Linked DNA regions of Saccharomyces cerevisiae S288C. Changing the gene in region 3 together with the main gene of any one other region gives a genetic interaction. Each region holds a gene or a part of one and is shown on either strand. Other genes may lie near its edges.

Region 1 (7,261 bases), on a different chromosome or scaffold from region 3:
CTTTAGTCAGATTTAGATCCTATATAGATTATATGGGATAAGTAACATTCCGTCAATCAAGCTGCTCTTCTGACAGGTATTAATATTGTTAAGACGGCTAGTATTGACTAACTTCATGACACAACCACTGTTGTATCTCAAAATGAGATATGTCAGTATGACAATACGTCACCCTGAACGTTCATAAAACACATATGAAACAACCTTATAACAAAACGAACAACATGAGACAAAACCCGACCTTCCCTAGCTGAACTACCCAAAGTATAAATGCCTGAACAATTAGTTTAGATCCGAGATTCCGCGCTTCCACCACTTAGTATGATTCATATTTTATATAATATATAAGATAAGTAACATTCCGTGAATTAATCTGATAAACCGTTTTGACAACTGGTTACTTCCCTAAGACTGTTTATATTAGGATTGTCAAGACACTCCGGTATTACTCGAGCCCGTAATACAACAACCACACGAAATAATCGGGCGTGTGGTCTAGTGGTATGATTCTCGCTTTGGGCGACTTCCTGCCTAAACAGGAAGACAAAGCATGCGAGAGGCCCTGGGTTCAATTCCCAGCTCGCCCCGTTATCTTTTTTCACCATCAGGGCGGAATTTTTTTGTTTAGCATCAATCAACCTAACCTCTCATGCTTCTCCAAGCTGAAAGAAGTAAACTCACTCTATGTACGTGTTGCAACATATATCTGCCAAAAGAATGAAAGTAGGTTCAGAACAAACAGATTGAAAGGAGACCAGTAAAACTATATGGGGGGGGTTGTTCTTCCCGCCTCCTTCTGGGATTATGAAGACGCGCTGATCTGCTATAGTTCAACGTCCTTTTCGCTTACTATTTCTGGTAAGAAATATAAGGAATTCTCGGATTAATTACTTTTCTCGAAAGGGGATTCCGAACACCTACCGGAAAAAAATAGCAGCCCTTAAGGGGAGAGTACGGCTCTTGGCATGACGGGAGGCAGGACAGCACTAAAGGCAGACTAGTCACTGAGCGCTCCAAGTTGGGTATGATAGTATCTTCAAGTTTTGGTCGAGTAGCTATTCCTCTTCTTCAAAGCCACTTACGCTTCGCCCAATAATGTCATGATTTACAAATAAACCTTCCTCTCCGAACCCTTAAAAGTAGGCAAATTGAGAAAATTTTTTGCTCGTCTTTTTTTCTCTCGTTTCGATTACCTTATTGGGAACTTCTCGAAGAACTCGGCGAAGAGGTCCAGAGGAAGATTACTGACTATCATCAAGCCTTGTTTCTTTTGGCCTCTTCAGTAAGCTGCAAATGCAGTATTGGCTTTTTTAAAAAAGAAAAAGAGAAGGAAAGCGGAAACTAGTCTTGTTGCTCTTCTAGTGCAGTTGTTGTTTGTTCATTTGTTTCTTAATAACAGTCAACGAGAAAACTTGCGCGTGCAGTAGGAAAATAAGTAGCAAATTACATTACATGGAAAACTTGCAACCATCTGTGAGCACAGGCGACCAATGAGTACTTTCAACAGTTACAGCCAGCCAAAGGAAAGCAATGATAATAGTCATAATAATGTCAACAAGAGCAAATCGCTGTTAGATATAATATTTGGTACTAATGTATCGGAATGGGCTTTTTCTGAGAATGCTTTAATGAAAGCTATGGATTTGAAAATAGAACAAGAAAAGACTAAGCAGCAATATTATAAACTTGAAAACTTGAATCGTTCGATAGAGTTGTTTAAGCTTGCTTCCAGTTCAGGTCTGCCCATAAATCAAATACATAAACTATTCAACACCGACCATGGCGTACCGGCGTCTTCGCCGATGAAGGCAGGGGGCAATCAACCACATAACAATACAGAAGGCACGCAATCTTCAGAAAATCTGCCCAGATTGAATGGTTCTATGAAGTCATTAAAACCTCTAAATATGAACACAGTGTCACCAACTCCAATGAGTCGACAGCCCTCTCCATATAAGTTTCCAGCATCATCCTCTACCGGCGGTATATCACACTCCACAGTTACAAATGTACAACGAAGAGCTAATTCTCCTGCAAGAATAGGTGCATCCGCAGTTGCTGCGTTGAATGACAATATTTCCATTAAGGAGGAAGATGTGGCTAGGCGAATTCCCTCTGGTACAAAATCTCAAGAATCGCCTTTAAACAAGAAGCCGACTTCTCTTCACAGCCGTAACTTGTCACTTCCAATAGGAAAGTTCACCAATCCTAATATTCCTTCTACAATGACATCCATACTAAGTTTCAATAGAGACCAACAGCAGCCGCTATCTCAACCACTGCCTCCTCCTCCACAACAGCAACAGGATCTCCACACGCACAATTTACATACTATACCAAGGAAACCTGGAATGGTTCAAAAAAAGCATAGGCGTGCAAGATCCACATCCTCCTTTGGAGTGATCGATTTAAGTATTATCGATGAAGCAAAAGAAAAACAAGTACAGAGATCACCATCCCCTATACATTCTAACGTGTCCGTAGCACTTACCTCACATGACAAACCAATTGAATCCAATATGAAGGAACAACCAAATATGCTGCAATCGGTTCGTGAAGGACGTCAAGTACACGATGACTTGGATGACAGAACATGCAGTGAAAGCAGTAGTAGAAACGAAAGCCCCGTAAGAACCATCACAAAGGATAATTCTGTAGGCAAGATTTTAAATAGTACTTGAGTGATCATTATTTTCTTTTTGATGTTCCCCCTACGTATGTATACACCCATATATTATATAGATACCCGCCGCATACCAACATAAAAAAGGTAACAAATATTTGAGATATAGAGCATCGCTACATTATGGGCAAGATGCGTCTTTGTGAGACGATTTTAAACAGAAGTTGTTCATCTCTCAGTGATCAATACCTATCAACATGTCAAATTCATCAGTGGAAAAATTTAAAATTTCGAATACCTGATCCTTCTTGTTCGGATACAAATGAATCAACAGTTTCCTGAAGATATTATAAAATAGCGACAACTTCTTGAAACATTCATCGCATATTTCATCAGCTATCATTGGTGACGTTAATTTAAATAGTAAATTACCTTGAACATCTGTTAACGCCTGAGGTAGATAATAGTTCAACTTATCATGCACATTTTTTCTGACCATGTCTAATTCCATCAATGAATTATCCCTCAGGGCTAAGTACATATCATAATCCAATTCATCCTTTACTGAGTCCACAGGAAAAATCATATTGACCAAATTGCTGTAAAGGTCTAAACCTGTATTCTCAAATAGGAATTTTATTTGTAAAGTTAGCATTTGCTTAGTATATTCCTTCAGTTTATCACAAACCCAGATGGTGATTTTCCGGCTGTCATCATCTTGTGCAAACAATCCCTCAAAAGGTTGAAGTCTAGATTTAATTAAATCGAAACAGTTTATCTCTATAGTTAGCAATGATGCCTTTTCTTTTTCATTTTTTTTCGCCAAAGGAAAAGATGTTTGCAATTGTTTTAACAGAACATCTTTTATTGGTTGTTCTACAATTGTTTGTAAATTCTTAGATGAGAGCAATTTATTATCTTCTGATTCCTCATCTTCGGCAGCATGTGTCTTTTCATAAATTTCAAATAACTCTACCAATTTATTCATATACTCTGATAGCCACTCTGGTGGCAGTAAATCATCTGAAGAATTTTTTGTTTCCGCCATGACTGTTTGCTTCATATAGTCTTCATAGTATCCAATAATTCTGTTTTTGGAAATGTCTTCCAACGACTTTAAATTGTTAATAATAGAACTATCGTCCTGAATTCCCTTTCTCTCGAACATAACTCTGTAAAGTTTCAGCAGCCTCACAATCTCGAAATTGATGATCGGATTTTCTTCAAACCTCACGATTTGCTCGATACGAATACGACACGAATTGGATAGCGACTGGATGATATCGTTCAGCAATTTGTTGTCGATGCCTTTCAAGAATGTCTTGTTTTGTTGAAGTATAGAAATTGGGGTATCTTTTAAGTCTTCATCCTGAAAGTCAAATAGTGACTTCACGAAATCAGCTTCATTTGCGATGATGGAATGAACGGACGCTAGTACGTCACCAATATACCTAATTGGATCGTGTGCCGATAATATGATGGGTTTAGAGGTAGTTGAATTCATATCGAATTGAGACAAAAACTCATCCAGAATACTCTTGGATCTCAGTGTGGTCACTCTTTTCAACAACTCATTAAATAATTCTAGATCACTTGACAGGAAGACCAGACTCTTCCGAAAAATGTTTAAGCTTTCTTGTTCAGTAGTACCATGGTCATTTAATAAATTTGAAGAGGATTCAAAACTATATAAAAAATCGATCAAATAATTGAAGATTTTTTTGTTTGTCTTTTCTAAAATTTCATTAACTCCCATTATCAAAGCATTTCCAGCATTCAAATTAGGAAGCGTCAGCAAGAAACTTGATTCATCTTTAATATTGATTACTTTCTTTACTACCTCGAAAAAGATGTTGTCTATAGTACCATTGGTGATTACATCGTCCTCTACCTGATTCAAAGTAAACCTATCCCTTATAGATAACAGTATTTTTTTTTTCAGCTTCAACTGCTCTGCCTTTAAACGGTATTGATCTATTTCCTGAAGTACCACGTTATTTGTTGGAACCTCATTTGTCTCATTACTTAGTAATTTTTCGCTCGTTCTTTGTATTTTTTCGACGGAAGAAGATAATCGTTTAATCCTTCTAATGATAGGTTTGAATTCCTCAAGTACCGTAATATGTTCCTTTAGCAGTTGAGATTCCAAATCAGTCCTCAATGCTCTTCTTGCCAAAGTACCTACATATTCAGGATTCATGAGCTTTTGTTCATCAAGGGACAATCTCTCTTTATTCTCTTCTAGAACCTTTAGGGATTTTCTTAGTTGGACTGTGGCCTGATAGTTAATCAATGTGTAATTGTTCAATATCTTGGATAGTTTATTCGAAAGAACCAAATTTGTGGTATTTTTGTTGGAACCACTTGACGGGGATACTAATTTTGATAAATCAAGGTTTTTTGGCTCGTAATTCGTGAAATTTTGAGATTCTTGCTGCGATAGTTTTTCATCCTGGGAATTTTGCCCTAATTGTTTGCTTGGATTTGAAAGCTGTATTTTATCAATGGAAGACATTGCGTAATGTGTCATTTTCTTATGTAGGTCTTTCGAACCAGCACCATCATTATCTACTGGCAAAGTTGCATTATTATTGGAATAACGTTGAAGGTCGGGCAACTTAAACTGTAGATCTAGTTTACCGGTGGGCTGTGACTGTGCATCTGAGGTTAAGTTTAGTCTTGGCTCAGGTTCTGGTAATTCTGGCGTGGCAGTATCCGCCATTGCGTAGGTCTGATAGTCTACAACGAAATCCATTGTGAGTAAACTTCACTGGGGATTTTGTTACGATAATGTACAATATACTTCAGATACTACAGCTTTCGGATGAATATTTACTAGAATGAATTACTACCTTAGATGTATATTTTGTATGAAAGCGTCATTACGCCAGTTGTATGTATTTTGTCGTCTGAGACGGCAGGTGATATATAAGTAAAATGGAAGTATAAACGAACAGAAAGCAATCATTAACAATTTACTTATAGATTTCGACTAACATACGCATCGGTAGGATTAGATACCAGTTTTTGAAATCCAATTTTTCCCTCGTATATGGAATGTGCTGAGAGTTTTCCTCAGGGATATGCGTATCAACAAAAGAGAGGTGGTAATACATGCAATCATATAGCGGTTTGTTTCTTTAATACTATATGTTGTCACTTATAATCCTGTTATATTATTGATCTTTAGGTTTCAGCTGATCCTTCTAATATCCCTCTATTGGTTTCGTAATTCGTGTTATCCTTTAAGAAGATCCTAGCGACATAATCATACTATCAACTGTTATGTTACCGTTTGGTGAACAGTTGGCTTTTTGCTCCGGCATTTTTGATTAAAAATAGGCTCTTGTTAAGCTACTGGAATTTTTCTATATTACCAGGCTACTCTTGATATGGCACCGGAATGTAATAGGAGTTACAAGACCATTTCAAGTTAAAGAAAAATTACTGGAAAAAGGGTAGTAACGTACGTGGACGAAATAAATAAGAAGGACGTAAATTTAATACAAATGCACAAGTAAAGTTATCGGCTCCTATTCTTCACTAATTCCATGCATATTAAGAACTGCTGGAATAAGAATTGACCGTTGCTTATTGACTAGTGGCCATGTTACTAGTATACCTATCACACACAATGTAAGAAAGTGACATAAGCCATGAGATACAATCTCAAATCTAGTAAAAGCCGAAATACAAGAACTGATGATGTAACAGAGTAATGCATAACAACGTGCAATGCAAAGGAAGAAATAATAGTGTTATTACGTAGGACATTGATTTCCTGTCATGACTATTATATCCTCAATGAGCGCATATAATGCATTCTGTATATTCAATAATACCACCTTATCAAATAACGAATACCATCGATTATCAGTAAATTCATGTATCACTCGCGTAAATTCTGAAATTCAGCCCACTAGGAAGACGTTTATATCAGTTTACTTTTGTACAAGTGACTTATTGCAAGCAATTTGTACGAAATATGCTTACACTTTTCATTAGTAAAAGAACCAACCACCCATCATTAACATCTTTTTATTTTTTATCCTTATCGTGTAAAAAAAACTTAAGAATAGACATCCTGGTGACGCATATCGACGAAAGCACACAACAGCGTCAAAAATTGATTAAAAGGTAAGTTATCATGCCCACACCTATGACGCCTGTCAAGGTCGGCGCTTTAGCCTGCCAGAGGAACTCATTTCTCTTCGATGGGTTCAAAACACTGGTTGTTTCTTGCGAACCAACGAAGAATAAAAAGGGAGAGATTGAAGGTTATGAGATTGAACTACAAGATACTATTCTGTTCCCCGAAGGTGGGGGCCAACCAAGTGATTCTGGTTTTTTGAAAATTGTTGAAGGGAATCGTAATTCGTCGAAAATTGAGAAGATATTAGTTTCACACGTTTCTCGTTTCGGTTTACATGCAAAGCATCATGTCAATGACTACATTGAGCCCGGAACAACAGTGGAAGTGGCCGTGGACGAGCAAAAGAGAATGGATTATATGCAACAACATACTGGTCAACACTTGTTAAGTGCCATTCTGGAACGCAACTACAAAGTAGACACTGTATCTTGGTCGATGGGTGGTATCATCACAAAGAAAAAACCTGTTCTAGAGCCTAGCGACTA
Region 2 (5,355 bases), on a different chromosome or scaffold from region 3:
TTTCATCAAATCAACATCGGCCTCCCCGTGCTAATATGTTAACAGGCCGAGCTCTTGCCATCTCACGCATTTTCCGCTATACAAATAGTATATATAATATTACAGCTTTTAAAGAGGGAAGAGGAAACGGAGAAGAAAATATACTACTTTATAGAGATATTCGGCAATTTTTTTTAGCAAAAGTTTATTAAACCCTAATATAGACCTTTACTTGGAGTTTCGATTTTAAGAATTTTTTATCATTTTTTTTTTTTGACGATTTCCTGTCGGTTTCGTTATAACCTGTTGTGTTGTTGTTGTTGTTGTTATTGCTGGGTTGTTGTTATTCACTTTAACATTATCGAATAAAATTTGGACTTTCAAAGTCCTGTTCAATAAGTTGTACTAAGCCTTTAAGCGTTTTTAAGTTACAAATAAAAACTGGAAAGCTTAAGGTAGCTTTCTAATATTAGGCTCTCAACCTTTTTTTACTCTCCATTTACCGCTAGATATTAACTAGTAGTAAGTATTGTGACTACTATTCCCTGTAATCAAAAAAAAAGTAATCAGATTTTATTTTATTTCGACATTACCCCTCAAATATATGACTGGTATGAATGATAATAATGCCGCTATTCCTCAGCAAACTCCAAGGAAACATGCGCTATCTTCTAAAGTTATGCAACTTTTTAGAAGCGGTTCAAGATCATCTAGGCAGGGAAAGGCCTCATCGAATATCCAGCCACCTTCTAATATAAACACAAACGTTCCATCGGCGTCTAAATCAGCCAAATTTGGTTTACATACCCCAACCACTGCTACTCCTAGGGTAGTTTCTAATCCTTCTAATACTGCAGGTGTGAGTAAACCGGGCATGTATATGCCCGAATATTACCAGTCGGCATCACCATCGCACTCTAGTTCATCCGCATCATTAAACAACCATATTGATATTAACACCTCTAAGTCATCATCAGCTGCTTCTTTAACTTCGTCAGTATCAGCTTTATCCTTATCACCCACATCAGCCATAAATATTAGCTCCAAAAGTTTGAGCCCAAAGTTCTCTCATCATAGTAACAGCAATACTGCTATTACACCCGCGCCTACTCCCACTGCTTCAAATATTAATAATGTAAATAAGATAACCAATACAAGTGCACCTATTTGTGGGAGGTTTCTTGTGCATAAAGATGGTACCCATGAACATCACTTAAAAAATGCTAAGAGACAAGAAAAGCTAAGCACAATGATTAAAAACATGGTTGGTGCGAGCAAATTACGTGGTGAGGCAAAATCTGCTGTCCCTGATATAATAATGGATCCAAAGACGACTTTAAAATCCAACAAGAATCCTCCTACTCTTTTTGCAGGCTTCATGAAGCAGGTCGTGGATATGGATGATAAATATCCAGAAGGCGCTCCCACAAGTGGCGCTTTAAATTGTCCTGAAAGGGATATATACAGGTCAGATCAAAAAGATTCCAAAAATAATACGCATAATATCACTACTACTAAAAAAGATAGGCAATGTTTTGCCGAAAAGTATGGTCGCTGTCAAGAAGTCCTTGGTAAAGGTGCTTTTGGTGTAGTAAGAATATGTCAAAAGAAAAATGTTTCTTCTCAAGATGGTAATAAAAGTGAAAAGCTTTATGCAGTGAAAGAGTTCAAGCGTAGAACATCCGAATCAGCAGAAAAGTATTCTAAGAGGTTGACTTCTGAATTTTGCATTTCTTCTTCATTACACCATACAAATATTGTTACTACACTAGATCTTTTCCAAGATGCCAAAGGCGAGTACTGTGAAGTAATGGAATATTGTGCAGGTGGCGATCTATTCACTTTGGTCGTTGCCGCCGGAAAATTAGAATATATGGAAGCAGATTGTTTCTTCAAGCAGCTTATTAGAGGTGTTGTTTATATGCATGAAATGGGTGTTTGTCATAGAGATTTGAAGCCTGAGAACTTACTGCTTACGCACGATGGTGTGCTAAAAATTACAGACTTTGGTAACAGCGAATGTTTCAAGATGGCATGGGAAAAAAATATTCACCTTAGTGGAGGCGTTTGCGGTTCATCGCCGTACATCGCCCCAGAGGAATATATCAAAGAAGAGTTTGATCCAAGACCCGTAGATATATGGGCATGTGGTGTCATTTATATGGCAATGAGAACTGGTAGACAATTGTGGAGTTCTGCTGAAAAAGACGATCCATTTTATATGAATTATTTAAAAGGACGTAAGGAAAAGGGAGGCTATGAGCCAATCGAAAGTTTAAAAAGAGCCAGGTGTAGGAATGTTATATATTCGATGTTAGATCCCGTTCCGTACAGAAGAATTAACGGGAAACAAATTTTGAACAGTGAATGGGGAAGGGAGATAAAATGCTGCCATAATGGGCGCGCATTGAAATAAACGAGTACTTCACTTTCAAATATCACGATATTTTGGAACAATTCGGTATTTTTTACTTAATCTAGTACACTAAGGAATGCTTTGTTATCCGGCATTCGTATCTTATTCCTCGCTTCTATTGTTCTACTTTTATATCCCGTTTGGCTGATTACGGATCACGTTCAAATTGGTAAATCCCATTAATTAAAAAAGAATTGTAACCTTATTTAAAAAAAAAAATAGTACATAACAATAAAAAAAAAAAAGATAATAATTTTGAATTTATTGCTAGACATTCTTACGTTTATTGTGTTCATGTTAACAAAAACACATGCCCGCGGTTATTATCGCTTTTTAATTGCTTTCTTAAAAAGAGTCGGTTGGTCAGATAGAGCAGATAGTAAATTATAGTGCTATTTAGGTCTGTTAATTTAAATGAAAGAAACATAAATGACCGTAAAAAACTAAAGGCAAAAGCATTAATTTATTTTATCCCGAGCGCACAAATATCTAGGCTTGTCATTTGTCCTAATAGTTCTTCGATTTTAGTGTCTAATAACCCATTGGCATAGTCGTCTCTTGATTGTTGGTCCAAATATTGTTGAATCTGCGCTAAACGAGTGTAACCATCAGTACAGAACCTTAGCTGAATCTTGATTAAAGCTTCAAAACTTGGGTCAAAGTAAGGTACTCTTAATGAAACTAACTGTGGTAGTTCAGTTTTCAATTGGTTATTAAGATTTTCGAAAATATCTTTAGCTAAGCTCAATTCTTTTTCAGCCCTTGGCAGTTTAGAGGCATCTTTAGCAGGTTTGTCCACTAATCTACGAACTTTTGCCTTCGCAGCATCGAAGTCTTGTTTCTTATGGTCTCTCTTTTTTATGGCCTCCTCAATTTCTTTGAAATACGTCGAAAACTTTGTTATTGGATCTAGTACGGTTTCTCTTAAGGGCCCGTCTAATTGCTTAACAGTTTCGCTATCAAAATCTTGAACACATTGCAAATAATAGTTACCAACGTTGTAACCACCACCAGCAACATATTTTGAATCGTCATAGAGGTTAGAGATGACCTCGGCAATGGTAGTCTGTGATGCTGTCACAGCTCTCAATGAGTCCAAGAAACCTTTGGCTTCCTTTTGTAATGCCTCACCTGCTCTTTGAAGAACTTTATAACGACGTTCTTCCATGTCATACTCTTTATCAATGGTCTTGTCGACATTCTTAATTATCACACTGTGACCAGCTCTGTTGATAGCTTTCTTAAAACCTTCCCAACTCATCTTGTATCAGCTTTCTTCTGGCTTCTTATAATAGGATTTGTATAGTTTTCTATATCACAGCGTTTCCTTTTCTTCTCTCACGTCTGCCTGTTATTAAATTTGTTTTCCCTTTCTTTTAATTCGGATTCTCATAATTGTTCAAAATCCGCGCATTTGGATCGTCCAGCCCCTGCAGCGCCCAGTTCAGCCAACAAAAATTCATAGGGACGTAAAGGAAACGTTTCATGTCTGTTACAATGAAAAAGACAAGTCGAATCACATTATGAATGGCAAACGATAGACCTTTCGTTGCCTTTCAATTACATGATATTCGTGGCAACATCTTCTCCGCTAACCTAAAAGTTTTATCAGAAACATATATCTTATTTTTTCTGAAGTAAAATCAAAGTGCAGGGAAGACAAGTAAAGGAGTCAGCAAAAAAGTGAAGTAAACTTATATGTTAACTGTTTATAACCGTACCTTGCTTACATCATCTATATTTTCGTAATCATTTTTGTACATTGTTTATATCTTGTTTTGAAGTTTTAGCTTTGAAAAACATTTAATTGCGAAGTAACATAATGTTATTAATAGTGTACGACTGAAACAGCCATTCTATTTAAACATATAAAAGTACGATTAGTTGGTGTGGTTATATAAGTCATAAAATAATTATCATATTAAAAAATTGAAAAATAAAAAACTACTCTTTTTTATTTCAATAGTTCTCGTTATTAGTAGGTCGTGCTCTTAAAAGATTACCCTTTCAGTAGATGGTAATGGGAATGGACGAGCCAGTACATATGAATTCTGCTTTGTAGCAACACCTGCATATGCGTTGTACCAAGCAATGAAAGCAACAACAACTCCCAGGACACCACCAGCTCTTGTGACACCAAGTCTATTAGCAAAGTGACCAATAGACAACAGTAGGAAAGTTAATGCTAGTAAGAAGAACAACAAAAAGAACATAACAGTGGATTTCATGGTACAAACGGTTAAACCAAACGTAAAGATGGCCCACCCCAACAAATAAAATCCTAAAGCATTATTCAAATCAGATTCATTGTCTTCGTAAGCTTCCAAGATACCAAACCAAGGAATGTAAATTGCAGCGAAACTCAACCAAAACCCACCGTAAGAACATAATGCGGTACCACCAAAAGTATTTTCCAAAGCTATCTCCCAAATACCAGCAATCAATTGCACCAAACCACCATAAAACATAGCACAACCGACGACAACATTAGGAACAGTGATCCCTTGCGCTCTCGCATTGAACATGGACAGCACAAATGTCGTCAACGCGAAGGCTGAAAGACCTAAGGGCGCAGGATTAGCAAATTTGTGCACTGGAGCAGGAGCTAACCCTGGATTCAAGGTACCACCAAAGGCTTGGTATAAGTCGCTCTTCAAAAACTTTTGACGCCCAATATAGATATATTCATTGTTATCACCTCCAGTGTAAATCTTGCCCAACGAATCATGAGATGGACGTTCATCTTCTGCAACGCCATTAACGTCGTTATCATGGGAACTATAGTATCCTGCTGGTGCATTCTCCAAATCTGTGTTTCCGCTCGTTTGTTCCTTGTCAGACATATTATTTGTTTGTATATGAGTTGTTTTGTGGTTGTTTAGTTATATCTGTGTTAGCTGTCGACTATTTGCCTTTTTCTTATAAACAGATGCTAGTAGTTTCTGTTGTATTGTTATTGC
Region 3 (8,018 bases):
TTGACTTAGCATCTCCCCTGCAAAAATCAAAGTAAAAATTTAAGACCCGATTAAACTATTCCTGTGCTAAACCACTCAGTTGGAAAATAAATTGTGTAACTAGTCCAAGTCAAGATCTTTGACAGACCGTGTTCAAAGAATCTCGTGGTTGTTCTGTTTTCTTAATTTTTGTTAACCACCTGTAGCTTTACTAGAGTGCATTTAAGCGGGACTTGTTGACTGGTATTTCATATCATAATAAGGCACGGTTAAATTGGCCTAGTAATGAATTTACTATAGCAGTATGTTTAATTATATTGCTTTCCCAATTTATATGTTTACTTTTTTTAGGCGCAGAGACCTGCTTAGGCGATATGTATCGTAAAAACATAACCGTAACGCTAGCAACAAAATATAAACTTGAAGCTATTATAATTTTCGTATACTTAGAAGCTGTTTTACAAATAATACAGCACTTTCATAAACTTAACAATACACCCATTAAAAAAGATCTATATGAATGGGTAATATAAGTATATAAATACAAAAAGGGGTACTACATAAAAGATTTATCATTTAGAGGCAATCTTGACCTGTTGCACAGAAATGTCTGATGGTTTGTCGTCCATGAAGAAAAACTTGAAAAAATGCTCGACACCCCAACTACCAAAGAAATCGAGCAATAATGTTAGGGTCAACTTAATCTTAAAGTCATCAGTCATTGGCACAAACTTCATGGCTTCGTTTAGCTCAGGTAAAAATTCAGTAGCACTTGCAAGTGCCAAACCTGTCACACCCAATAAACCATAATACATACCTTTGTTACTCCTAATGTTTTCTCTGAATGGCTCACCTTGATAATTGACAGCAAATGTAGAGACTTGTTGTACCAACTGAATGATGAAAATACCCGTATTCAATAATGATGGAGCAAATTCCTTTTCAAGATCAACTTGTGGCTCTCTGGGTTCCAATTTATAAATCTCTGTAGTGATGTAAACTAAAGTGGCAATATGAACGGCAAATTGAGACAAAATAGATCCCATAATGTAAACATTGAAAATTCCGGACTGTGGCCTTTGCTTGGATAGTTTTTCTAAAGGTTTACCACGGGAAATACTCAAGAAACAAACCGATAGTAACAAACCGGAGACAGTGGCTTGACCATCACCAAATTTGACACCAGCCATGTAAATGATGGACAAAGAGTAGGCACTGATTAAACAATTCAAGGCCAAGATTTTGTACATTTGAATTGTGTTAACTAAAGCACAACGGCCTTGACGTATAATGTTAGTAACAGCAGAAACATTGGCCAGTTTCGAGGTAAAAGGGGCAGCGCAAGATGCATCTCCTAACTTTAGAGCTGGTGCTTCATCACCTTGGGCATCACCAGCAGAGTTCAACAACAAAGAAGCTAAGTCAGCAGGTTTTTTTTCCGATAGTCCATTTGGTTTGATGACTTCAACAGGTTTGGAATTTGCTTCTTCAACTGCTTTTCTGATTTCTGGCGTAATGACGGTACCTTTGCTTTCTAAAGCTTTCAGATAATGAGGATTTTTTGGACCAGGTGGGAATAAGTGTGCAATCGGTTCAGGAACAGGTGGCTGTGGTTGATTCCATCTAGCCATAAATTCAGTTTGCTTTATATACATCATTTTCATACCTTCCAATCTGCGTTGTTCACCCAATTTTTTCAAACCTTCTTCGGTACCATTCAACAATGCAATACCAACATGAGCTTGTTTCAAAGCACCAACATCATTAGTACCATCACCGCACATTAAAGTTTGATATCCCATATCCTTTAGTGTATTCAGCAAGAACTCCTTTTGGGATGGTGAAACACGTGCGTAAACCCAGGTGTGACGTAATAGATCCCTTAATTGAGAATGCCCTTCCAAGGCATTCAAAGCATATCCAGTAACAGCAATATCATATCTATCAAATAATTTAGAATGATCAAAAGTGTCTTTTGATGGATCAAATGGGATGGAAACTGTCTCTTCAACATCACGGAACAGCAACTGATTGTCGTCAGATTTACCTGCTCTGTCTAAGATTAAAGTTTCGCCAAAAACTATGCCAACTTCTTTAGCCACATGAACAGCAGTTAATGGATTATCACCAGTAATCATAATAGAACGATGGGAGGATTCATTTAACATTTTAATGGTTTCAATAGCGTCATCCTTCAGAGGACAATGGAAAATCAAAAACCCATTAAAGGTTAATTCAGATTCAACATCATCACGGTTTAGATCATCAATTTTAGACTGAGACATTTTTGGCAACGACTTAGAAGCCAAAGCCAAAACTCTTGAACCAGAGCGTGTAAAGGATTTATAGATTTCGTCATAATTCTTGGGAATGTCAGAAAGCCTTTCACGAATCGTTTCAGGTGCACCTTTGACAGCAGCAAACAAGGCATCGTTGTGAGAAGCAATAGAAGCAGACCTTTTTAAAGCAGAAGAAAATTGAAATCTACGGATAATATCCAATTTTCCGGTGCCCTCTCTATAGTTACTGTTTTTTCTTTCGACAGCCCAACCAACAGCCTTTAAGGTCGCCTTTTCCATTGGGTCACCAACAATATCACCATCTTCCAATTTAACTAAAGCGTGAGCAGCACCAATGACAAGAATTGTACTTTCTGGTGCTTCGGCAGCGCTGTACAAGTGACGAATGTTTTCGGAGTCCGCAGAGATACCAGCTAGACCTTCAAACACAAGATCTTCGCCGGTCAAAGTACCAGTTTTATCGAAACAACAAACATCAATTCTACCAGCAAATGGAATTCTAAATGGTTCAGTACAATAGACATAGAACTTGGCAAGGGCGGCCAGAGAACTGTTGACAGCCATGGTCAATTCCATTGGTAACTCAGGAGGAACAACAGATGTAATAATTAATATACAGTCCAAGATCAATTTGGATTGAATTCTACCCATTTTTGTACCCTCAACCCAAACGTACCAGGATGCAATAACAGCGAAAATCAACAAGAAAAGAATGAACATCAACGCTTCCTTATTATCGACGGAAACACGTTCAGCGGAGTAAATCATAACTCGAACTAAAGAACCCTGAGATGTTTCAAAGCCAGTTTTGGTGACGATGGCTAAGGCACCTCCATCAGGTGGAGGAGGGATATCCGATTTATGTTCAGGAGGTGTTACTTGTAATGCCTTTGTACCACCATGTAACACAGCAATCTTGTCAACACCGTCCAGTTGTAAATTATCTTCACTAGGACGTAATTTAATGGATTCCTTTAACAAGGGAGTAGATTCACCTGAAAGCATTGCTTCATTAACAATAGCGGAGCCATCGAGCAAGATCAAATCGCAAGGAATTGCGCTCTCCTCGGCGGTTCTTGTTATAGACACTAAATCCATAGGTAACAATTCATTGGTTTGCAATGCTACCCATTTTTTGTTTCTAAACACGTTAATGGTATAAGGTTTGATACCCATAGTTCTAAATTCCTTCAAGGCAGTTAATCTTTGAAATACTGCAGCTGCCTCCATGGAGATAATCATGAATAAGTTAAACAAAGAATAATACCAGAACTCATCCAATAGCCATAAGGCAACACAGAAAACTTGGAAAACAAACAATGGCGCAACAGCGTGCTCTTTGAATAATTCCATAAATGTTGGAATAGGAATATCAAAACTATTCTCACCATATAGTCTCTTCAAATGAGTTAGGTCACCGGAATGGCCCTTACATTTTTGGAAATCACCGATCTTTGGGGATTCATCAACAAGGAACTTTGGTGAAGAAAATACCTGCTCATTTTCATGCCACAAGAATCTTTTCTTTTGAAATTGGAAAAAAGTCTGCAAAGAGCCCGCTTCAGTTACTCTCTGAATTTCAACGATACCATCAGAACCATTATTTGGAGTGGTGTAGATGAGAATGTGAGTAGCTTCATTGACATTTTTAGTAGTACTGTAGTTGAATTTCGCCTTGATCTTGACATTCCAAGCAGGCATTAACATGACTAGGATGTTCAAGGATACCAATGTCCCCAAGTAGACAAAAGTCCACTCAGGTCCTTTGATGTAACGATCATATTGCTGGAAATATAGTTGGGCAAAGGTAGCGTATAACGGGAAAAACGGTAATACGTACGGCTTTGCTATTAATGACTTTGGTACCAGCAATGTCGAGTCCCTAACAATAGGACTGCTCACAAATGATTTCTTTGTCATTTACCGATTCCTATGTTTCTGTAGGTCTGATATGTCAACTATGTCTAGAGCTAAAAGCTTGCTAAAGCTTCATGTTATATGGTGGAAGAGACATTGCCACTTGGCTTTATTCAGAACACGCGAAGAGGAAGAGAAACGCGTAACGTATGGCGTGACAAGAAGCCACGAATGAGCAAGTAAGATAAGCCAAAGTATCACACATATTCATTAACAGAAGATATAGTGCCCCATAACTGCTTACAACACATTCAAACAAAAGAAGGAAATAAGCGTTTTAATACATAATTCTTTAATACACGAATAACAATTAATGAACTAAATAATCTGGAAATGAACTGAAAATTATGAATGACAAAAAGAAAAAAAGCCAAGAATGGAAGTCTTTTAGTAAACATTCCTGTGACATCAGACTCTCCAAACTTTATCGTCAGCAACCATTAAGTTATTTCTGTCCGACATGATCTTCAAACCTGCTAAATATTCTTGAGCGGAGAATTTTTCCTCCTCCGGTAGTTCTTCGTTGATTCTTTCGAACAAAGAGGCCACAGGATAGGATTCTTCTTCAAATATTTCTGTTTGCATCAGACGCGCAATAATACCTGAGATTAAAGACAATCTACCAGTAGAAATGGTACCAGGCTCCACATTGTCAAAAGAAATAACTGACTGTTGTTGCTCATCATCCTGACCTGCAGAAGATACGTTAGGTAATCTTGGAGTACCGACCTCGGTAAGAGGTCCCGACGAACCTTCCTCAGGTGCGTGAAGATGTTCTCTACGTCTTGGAGACACTCTCAACCCCAGTTGAAGCCTTCTTTGTAATTCAGCTTCCTCATCCGCAGGAAGCGGTGACATTATATCGTTATCGTCTTCACCAGCGTTCTGTTCGTCATCTTGAAAACGTAATATTCTGCGTGCTGACGATGGCGTGGCATTAACGGAAGATGCCGTTGACCTTCTTGGAGTAGATTTGATTGGGGATCCAGAGTTGCTTGCTGGTTGTCTGACTCTTTGTCTTTTTTTCGGTGATTTCTGTGGAGACCTCTTCGACAAAGCTTCTTCGTATTCACTTTCCTCTTCATCGATATCATTGCCGATATCCTCACCCAATAGTGCAAACCTTAGTAGATTGGCAGCCACTTTAGCATCCACCTTGTTGACTGTTTTGGATAACCTGACTTTGGCGTGAGCTGTGGCTAATCTGATCAAAGTCTCCAAAGTTCTTGCAGTAATGGGCGATTTTTTGGTATTATCATCGTTTCTTAAATCAGTATAATTTTTCACAATAACATTGATGGCTTCTTGTGTTAACTGTGGAATAACCCTTTCCTTGGCATATTGAACGTACTTTCTTAAGAATGGGATGGTGACTAGCTTTGGAATTTCTGTACCGTTATAGTTACCTTTGTTTTTTGCTAACTTAGCACCTGCTTGTAATAAGGGGTTGAACTTTTCGAAGACATGGTCTTCATCATCTTCTCCTTCATTTTCTACACCAGCCCCGGAGTTGGAATGCTCTTCAGGATTTATATCTGCATCCTCCCCAACGGCTAATGATAAATTCAAACGCTCTCTCACAGGTTCACCCTCTAAATAACCTGGAGGCAAATATCTGTGTGTTCTTAAGACATGCTCACTAATGGATCTATCTCTGATTTCATTGATATCGTCTGTCACAACAAATAGTAAATCAAAACGAGACAACAGCGAGTCCGGTAGGGCAATGTTTTGGTGTGGATCTCTATTGACATCGTACTGCCCAAAAACGGGATTTGCGGCAGCAATAACACTACAACGAGCATTTAATGTTGTGTGAATACCTGCTTTGGCAATCGTCACCGTTTGTTGTTCCATTACTTCATGAATGGCGACTCTATCCACATCTGTCATCTTATCAAATTCATCAATACATACAACCCCGCGGTCAGCAAGAACCATGGCACCAGCCTCTAGTCTTCTTTCACCTGTTTCCCTATCAGTAGTGACCGCTGCGGTCAAACCGACACCGGAAGAACCTCTACCAGTAGTAGCAATTGCCAGTGATGCTGTATTCAACACAAACCTTAGCAATTGGGACTTGGCAGTGGATGGATCACCCACCATTAGGATATTGATGTCACCTCTTAAATGCGAGCCATTTTCTAAATTTTTCTCCACACCTCCCATGAGCATCAATAAAATGGCTTTCTTTATATGGTCATGTCCATAAATAGAAGGCGCTAAAGATTGAGACAAGATATCGAAAATGTCCTTTTTTTTGGATAGTTTATTGATATTTCTTATATCGAAATCTGTCAACATTTGTCTCGCAGCGACACCCGTGGATCTGGCGTGGAGAGGATACACCGTATTACCTAGGATCAGAGTTTTGAACCCGATCAATGTATTAGAGTTGGACTGGTTCATGCCACCAGCACCAAGCGACTTGAATACCCCGACAACGTTAACTCTGTCACCTGGCTTGGTCTTGTCCACAAGGTCGTCATCGAGAATGACGTCAATGGACCTGGGAAGTTGGCCAGCGGGGGCCATTTCGGGCATTTCTTGCACAGTGATACGCTGATGGTCTATGAACGTACTATACCCATATTCGGTGGTTAGTTTGTTACCTTCAGTGTCCTCCGTTGGATAGATGGCAGGCGTTGGGATGCGGGTGGTGAGAGTTGTAGTAGCATCTGTATAATCTCTGTAATGGAATCTACCAGTCTTTGCCGCGTAGTGGACAGATCTGATAAGCTTTGGCCTGACCAACGAAGTCTTAGTTACGATACCCTCAACAGAGACCAGTTTGTTTAAATGTTGTGCCGTTAGAGTACGAGGAGACAATGCGTGTGCACCAAATGAGCCTTTGAACGAAAGCTTCCAAGGATGGCGAGACGATACTGCAGAGGCATTGGGATGTGGAACATCGTCCATGGAATCTGCTAGGTCAGTAAGCGCCTTTTCGGCAGGCGGGATGAAGTATGCTGGTTCGACTAAAATGCCCGACCAGAACGACCTGTCGAATTCTCTCAAGTCATCAAGCGAGATGATAATCCTGTGAGGGAGTATATTCAATGAGGTGGACGATGCTGCTTTCTTTTCCTTTTCAAGATCATCACCGTCGTCATCACCTAGCAAATCTCGTTCGTCTGCGTCATCTTGATCATCGTTGTAGTTGGCCGCGTTATTGCTGTTGTAAACTTGTATGGACCTTACAGAGTCTCTGTATGAGGTGAAAGTATCTAAAAACTCTTGAAATCTGCGCACTCTGTCACCAAACACAGCGTCTGGAGCGAAAAAAGTAGTAGCGTCTCCATCAAATCCCGTTGAGCCTTCCATAATTGACGTTTGTATCTTTTTGGTGCGCTTATAGTGGAGTTCAATACGAGCAGTAGGATGAAAATGCTTCAAGGAAAAGAGCGTAGGCCTTTTCAACTTGAAAGAAGATTAAGAACCTATCTTTCGAGTTTTGACCAAATTTTTCTTTTTTTTCCTAAAACACGAGTTTTTACCCATTTAGGAAAAGTAATTGTTTCTTCTACCGCCTCGATCTGACGAACAAGGGAAATTGAAAAAAAAGAGAAAAATAACGACAACTGCAGGACTCGAACCTGCGCGGGCAAAGCCCAAAAGATTTCTAATCTTTCGCCTTAACCACTCGGCCAAGTTGCCATAACTCATTGAAAATTCTGTTTCCCACATAGGTCAAAACTAATATTTCCCTTGGCCTGCTCTTCAACCTCCCCCGTTCTGAGAGTTCCCTTTTTTTTTTTTTTTTTTTTTTTTTGAGGGGGAAGCGCCGGATTTGCCACCGACCGGCTGCTTGCAGCCGGTAGA
Region 4 (4,422 bases), on a different chromosome or scaffold from region 3:
GGGACGTTCTAGAAACGTCTACTATTTTGGATGATTTACATAGTTTTAAAATAAAAAAGGCTCAATTTTACCTTCCGCGCATTTCTATTTTTTTAATCTAAAACCTCAAATCTTACAGTCTCTCCTAGCCGCTTTCCTGAAGGATCATGACTAACGTTTGCCAACCAGCCGATGAGACAAGTTTTAGTAGAGATTCTTCCCATTCATTTTTCACAGCAGATTCTATTAGTAACTTCCATTCGTCTGGAGAGAGTATCTGCAGAGAATTTATGTATAATAGTAAATGAAAGTTCGAGATTTTTTCATGCAAAAGATTGAAATCTCCACTTGAAGCCACATTGAATAAATACTTTTTTAATTCTTGATAATCTTGAGATTGCCCCATAGCTTGTCGATTGCTCCATGGAAATCCGGTGGAACTAACGAATTTCGAGTTGGTTTCCGTATCGGTATTCGGGAACCCATGAGTCAGCGTCACTAAAAGATAGTCTACCGGAAATGCAGGCTTCGCATTTTCCTTCACTGTTATACCATATTCATTCGACTTCATGTAAAATATCTCAGGTACATATCTTTCATCTGTAGTGTCATTAATATATGCCATTGAAGGAAATGTGGACCCACTTATCATATCTGCAGTAACCAATGCTTCAGCTTCTGTGGATACTTGGTAGCTCGAAATATCAATTTCACCTTCCAAATTACCTGATATAACGCAAGTTACAAACTTGGAAGAAAAAAAACCTTGTTCGCTATACTTGCTTACATTAGGATGCCTTGTTTGATGCCTAGCAGCCATAATAACTTCTAATGATGAAAGAAAAAACGAATCCTTATGTCTTTTGCAAAAAACAGACCCATCCCCAGCTCCCGCGTCAGATAAATCTGTAAATATTAGGCCAATTCGCGAAAGCCCCATTTCTTGAGCCTGTCTATCAATCTGTAGCATTTCATTCTTGACCTGTTCTACGTCCATGGTTAAACCGTCTTGCTCATCATGCTGAGGGGGCTCGTATATCGCCTCAACGACGGCCTTTATACCTAAAGGTGTGTTATCATACTTAGAATAAGATCCGTACATATAGCCAAATCTTTGCATACCCGTGTACCTCCACGCCTGAATAAATTCATTAATTATTTCACTCTTCTGAAATTCAACGTGGTCAACCATTCTAAATTCTTGCTGTTGTAATGTAATTGCCGATGGTTGACATTTAGAACATATCCCCCGAGGCCATGGTTCATGGCCATTATGGCAACGCTTATTGATTCTAAAATCAGGTTCTGAAAGAGGGGAAATATAAGAGCTGCCGTTCTCCTTCTTATTAGCATTTTCATTTAGCTTTTTAAGATATGAATGAAACGATATATGTTTGATCTTATTCTTCTCATGATATTCTTTGTCCCAAGGAGGTAAAGGCGAGCAGTATTCACACATACCTCTATCACCGTGCTTGCATAGTTTTGATTTTTGACGAGGAATTAATCCGTCCTCTTTCTCTAGTTCCTCATCTACAGCGAGTTCTTTGATCCTTAGTGGACCGTACCTGTGTTGACGAATTCCCTTGCTGTCAATACCTACGGATCCGATTTCAACATTGACACCATCTTTCTCATTAGCGGGCTTGTCCGAATAGTTAAGGATCAGCATGTCACCGTGCTTTAGTCCTAGATCCATCACTGTTCGATCAGCTAGTTCAGAAACAGCATGAATACCTTGACCGGGCTTCTCACAAACAGTAAATGTGTCGACATCGGCATTGGGGTCCAGATTACCCACCAACTTTTCAATGACCGTTCCGAAAAGGTCGTTTTCTTGACAAGAAACCCTGTGTGTACCGTTTTTTGATCTAAATCTGATAAGCATACTTCACTTAAATGTATATCGATATCAGTAGTATAGGGAAATTTTTCTTCAGAGTACTGTCCTATTATTTGCCACTCTTCGTTCTGTATGTTACGAGGGCGTTCCTTAAAATGGGTAGACGCATCTTATTACCCGCCAAAAAACGTCAAAAGTTTTAGGAACACGTCTAAAAGTTGAAATAATATGTGAAAAAATTGATGAAATATTAATGAAATGGCTTATTTAAACGAATTCAAGTACAGGAAAGAGGTACGCACAACTACTTGAGTTTGCCAATATGTCCGAATTTAATGAAACAAAATTCTCCAACAACGGGACGTTTTTTGAAACGGAAGAGCCAATTGTGGAGACGAAATCAATCTCCGTTTATACCCCACTCATATATGTCTTTATTCTGGTGGTGTCCCTTGTGATGTTTGCTTCAAGCTACAGAAAGAAGCAGGCCAAAAAAATTAGTGAGCAACCATCCATATTTGACGAAAACGATGCCCATGATCTGTATTTCCAAATAAAGGAAATGAGTGAAAATGAAAAAATTCACGAGAAGGTGTTGAAGGCCGCTTTATTGAACAGAGGAGCAGAATCTGTTAGACGATCATTAAAGTTAAAAGAGTTGGCTCCTCAGATAAACCTTCTATATAAAAATGGCTCTATTGGGGAGGATTACTGGAAGAGATTTGAAACTGAAGTTAAATTAATTGAATTGGAATTTAAAGATACTTTACAAGAAGCTGAAAGATTGCAACCGGGCTGGGTTCAATTGTTCGTTATGGTTTGTAAAGAAATTTGCTTTAATCAAGCTCTCTCTAGACGTTATCAATCAATCTTGAAACGGAAAGAAGTGTGTATTAAAGAGTGGGAGCTGAAAATAAATAATGATGGAAGATTAGTCAATTAGTGCCTACTGTGTGCAAAGATATGTATTCGCTCGTTCAGTGTTTTTTTAAAAATATGTATAGAATTTGTCATTATCTGCGTTAAAAAATAGTTATAAAGTATATACAATAACAATAAATGATAAAGAAATATGCAGTGAAAAGAAAAAATTATGAAGCTTTTCCTTTCAGTGTTTTCTACCCTTCTTCTTGCTCACTACTTGGAATTCCCAGCCGTCGTCATCATTGCCTGATAGAGCTAGCGCTTCATTCCAACTTAGTGGATCATCACCTTGTTTTTCGCACGCAACACGTCTTTTAATAAATTCAGTGGCAAATCTTCTACCATCCATAACGTCACTATTGGCATAAATTGTTTCTTGAATCAATTCTTTAGATTCTGGCCCCGTAGGTAAACTCAATAATAGTTCTAAGACATTGTTATTGGTTATTCCAGAATTTAATTTCATCTGTGATTTACACCATTTGATAAATTCTTGCCGGGGAGAAACATTGTTCATGCTAGCAAAGGTAGTGGTAGTAGAAGTTGTGCTAGTTTTTGCCGTTAATGAAGAATTTAAACTGGTATTGGTTTTTGAATATGGGGAGACAACGGTTCCTATAGGTGCTTTCCCTTTAGAAGTCACCGTAGTCCAAGAAGATGTGGTAGTAGATGCAGAGGATGTGGACTTTACTTGTTTGGAAGAACTCTGAACCTTTTCCCATAGTTTTTTCTGCTCTTCTATGAAATTTGGATCTTCCAACTCCTTTAACGGAGACGACTCTTTCATCCCTTTTGGGCTTTTTTGAAACTGAGATTTAATATCAATAGTTTGATTCGATGGTAGGCTGGACTTGTTAGCCCAGTTAAGCACGGATTTTAGTTCCTCCTTTTGCTTTTCTTCTTTGCTGTTCCTCTGTTGTAGACCTAAGGGTTCTCCTTTCTTCTTTCCAGTGCTACTTACACCATTTTTAATTGAAGTTTCGATTGCATTGTTAACTTTGACTTTTGAGGCCCATGGTGCCGGATTCGCGCTTGAGGAATTTAATGAAGGCAAATCTTTTGATGTCTTAAAGCCTTCTGTTTGTGTTTGTGTGTCCTTTTTTGTCTTTTCTGATTTTTTTTGCTTTTCTGCTTCCAAAGCTTCTTTTTCCTTTTGTTCCTTTTGTTCCTTTTGTTTCTTCAATAAATCATCCTCTTTTTGCTTTTGTTTCTTCGATAAGCGAGCTTCTTCCTTCCTTTTGAGTTCTCTGTTCCGTTTCTCTTGTTCATCCAATAACGCTTTTGCTACAGATTCGGATTTTTCCTTCTTCCCTTTTTCCAGCATAGTGGTCGATTTGTATTCTTGCTTGTGAGATTCATCTGTTTGACTAATGGTGGTTGCTGAGGCTAATTTAATATCGACTCCCTTGGAGGTGGTACCTCCATCCATATCCCAGATATTGTCATGTGTCAATGGCTTGAAAATATCGTTTTCAGTAGCTTTAATAGTGCCAGTAGCGGCAACACCGCTTGCGTAAGGAGCTAGATTCAAGTTGATAGAATCAGAGCTGGTTGTTTGAACGTGAAGTTTGTCAAAAGTAGTGAATGGATCCGTATCATACTTCTCGAGTTTAGTCATTAACTCACCAAGTGTGATGAAAATATCGTTTATTCCTAGCGTTTCTGGAGTGCTTCCC

The links.
Region 1: mutations in SPF1 (region 3) and COG6 together harm fitness more than expected from each alone (negative genetic interaction), as found in Saccharomyces cerevisiae (5 studies listed by BioGRID).
Region 2: mutations in SPF1 (region 3) and RVS161 together harm fitness more than expected from each alone (negative genetic interaction), as found in Saccharomyces cerevisiae (5 studies listed by BioGRID, with this or other methods).
Region 4: mutations in SPF1 (region 3) and SEC66 together harm fitness more than expected from each alone (negative genetic interaction), as found in Saccharomyces cerevisiae (5 studies listed by BioGRID).

Annotation. Positions count from the first base shown.
Region 1 is NC_001146.8:546,610-553,870, forward strand, and holds COG6 (Golgi transport complex subunit COG6), read right to left. Parts: upstream 5,379-7,261; coding exon 2,859-5,378; downstream 1-2,858. Other genes in the region: YNL042W-B (uncharacterized protein), read left to right, coding at 504-761; BOP3 (Bop3p), read left to right, coding at 1,491-2,681; YNL040C-A (uncharacterized protein), read right to left, coding at 5,869-5,949; YNL040W (putative alanine--tRNA ligase), read left to right, coding at 6,771-7,261. UniProt on the Saccharomyces cerevisiae protein: Acts as a component of the peripheral membrane COG complex that is involved in intra-Golgi protein trafficking.
Region 2 is NC_001135.5:127,887-133,241, forward strand, and holds RVS161 (amphiphysin-like protein RVS161), read right to left. Parts: upstream 3,657-5,355; coding exon 2,859-3,656; downstream 1-2,858. Other genes in the region: serine/threonine protein kinase SAT4, read left to right, coding at 584-2,395; ADY2 (Ady2p), read right to left, coding at 4,387-5,238. UniProt on the Saccharomyces cerevisiae protein: Component of a cytoskeletal structure that is required for the formation of endocytic vesicles at the plasma membrane level.
Region 3 is NC_001137.3:86,439-94,456, reverse strand, and holds SPF1 (ion-transporting P-type ATPase SPF1), read right to left. Parts: upstream 4,200-8,018; coding exon 552-4,199; downstream 1-551. Other genes in the region: MCM DNA helicase complex subunit MCM3, read right to left, coding at 4,605-7,520; MTC7 (Mtc7p), read right to left, coding at 7,859-8,018. UniProt on the Saccharomyces cerevisiae protein: Endoplasmic reticulum translocase required to remove mitochondrial transmembrane proteins mistargeted to the endoplasmic reticulum.
Region 4 is NC_001134.8:576,220-580,641, forward strand, and holds SEC66 (Sec63 complex subunit SEC66), read left to right. Parts: upstream 1-2,144; coding exon 2,145-2,765; downstream 2,766-4,422. Other genes in the region: NPL4 (nuclear protein localization protein 4), read right to left, coding at 125-1,867; SMY2 (Smy2p), read right to left, coding at 2,931-4,422. UniProt on the Saccharomyces cerevisiae protein: Acts as a component of the Sec62/63 complex which is involved in SRP-independent post-translational translocation across the endoplasmic reticulum (ER) and functions together with the Sec61 complex and KAR2 in a channel-forming translocon complex.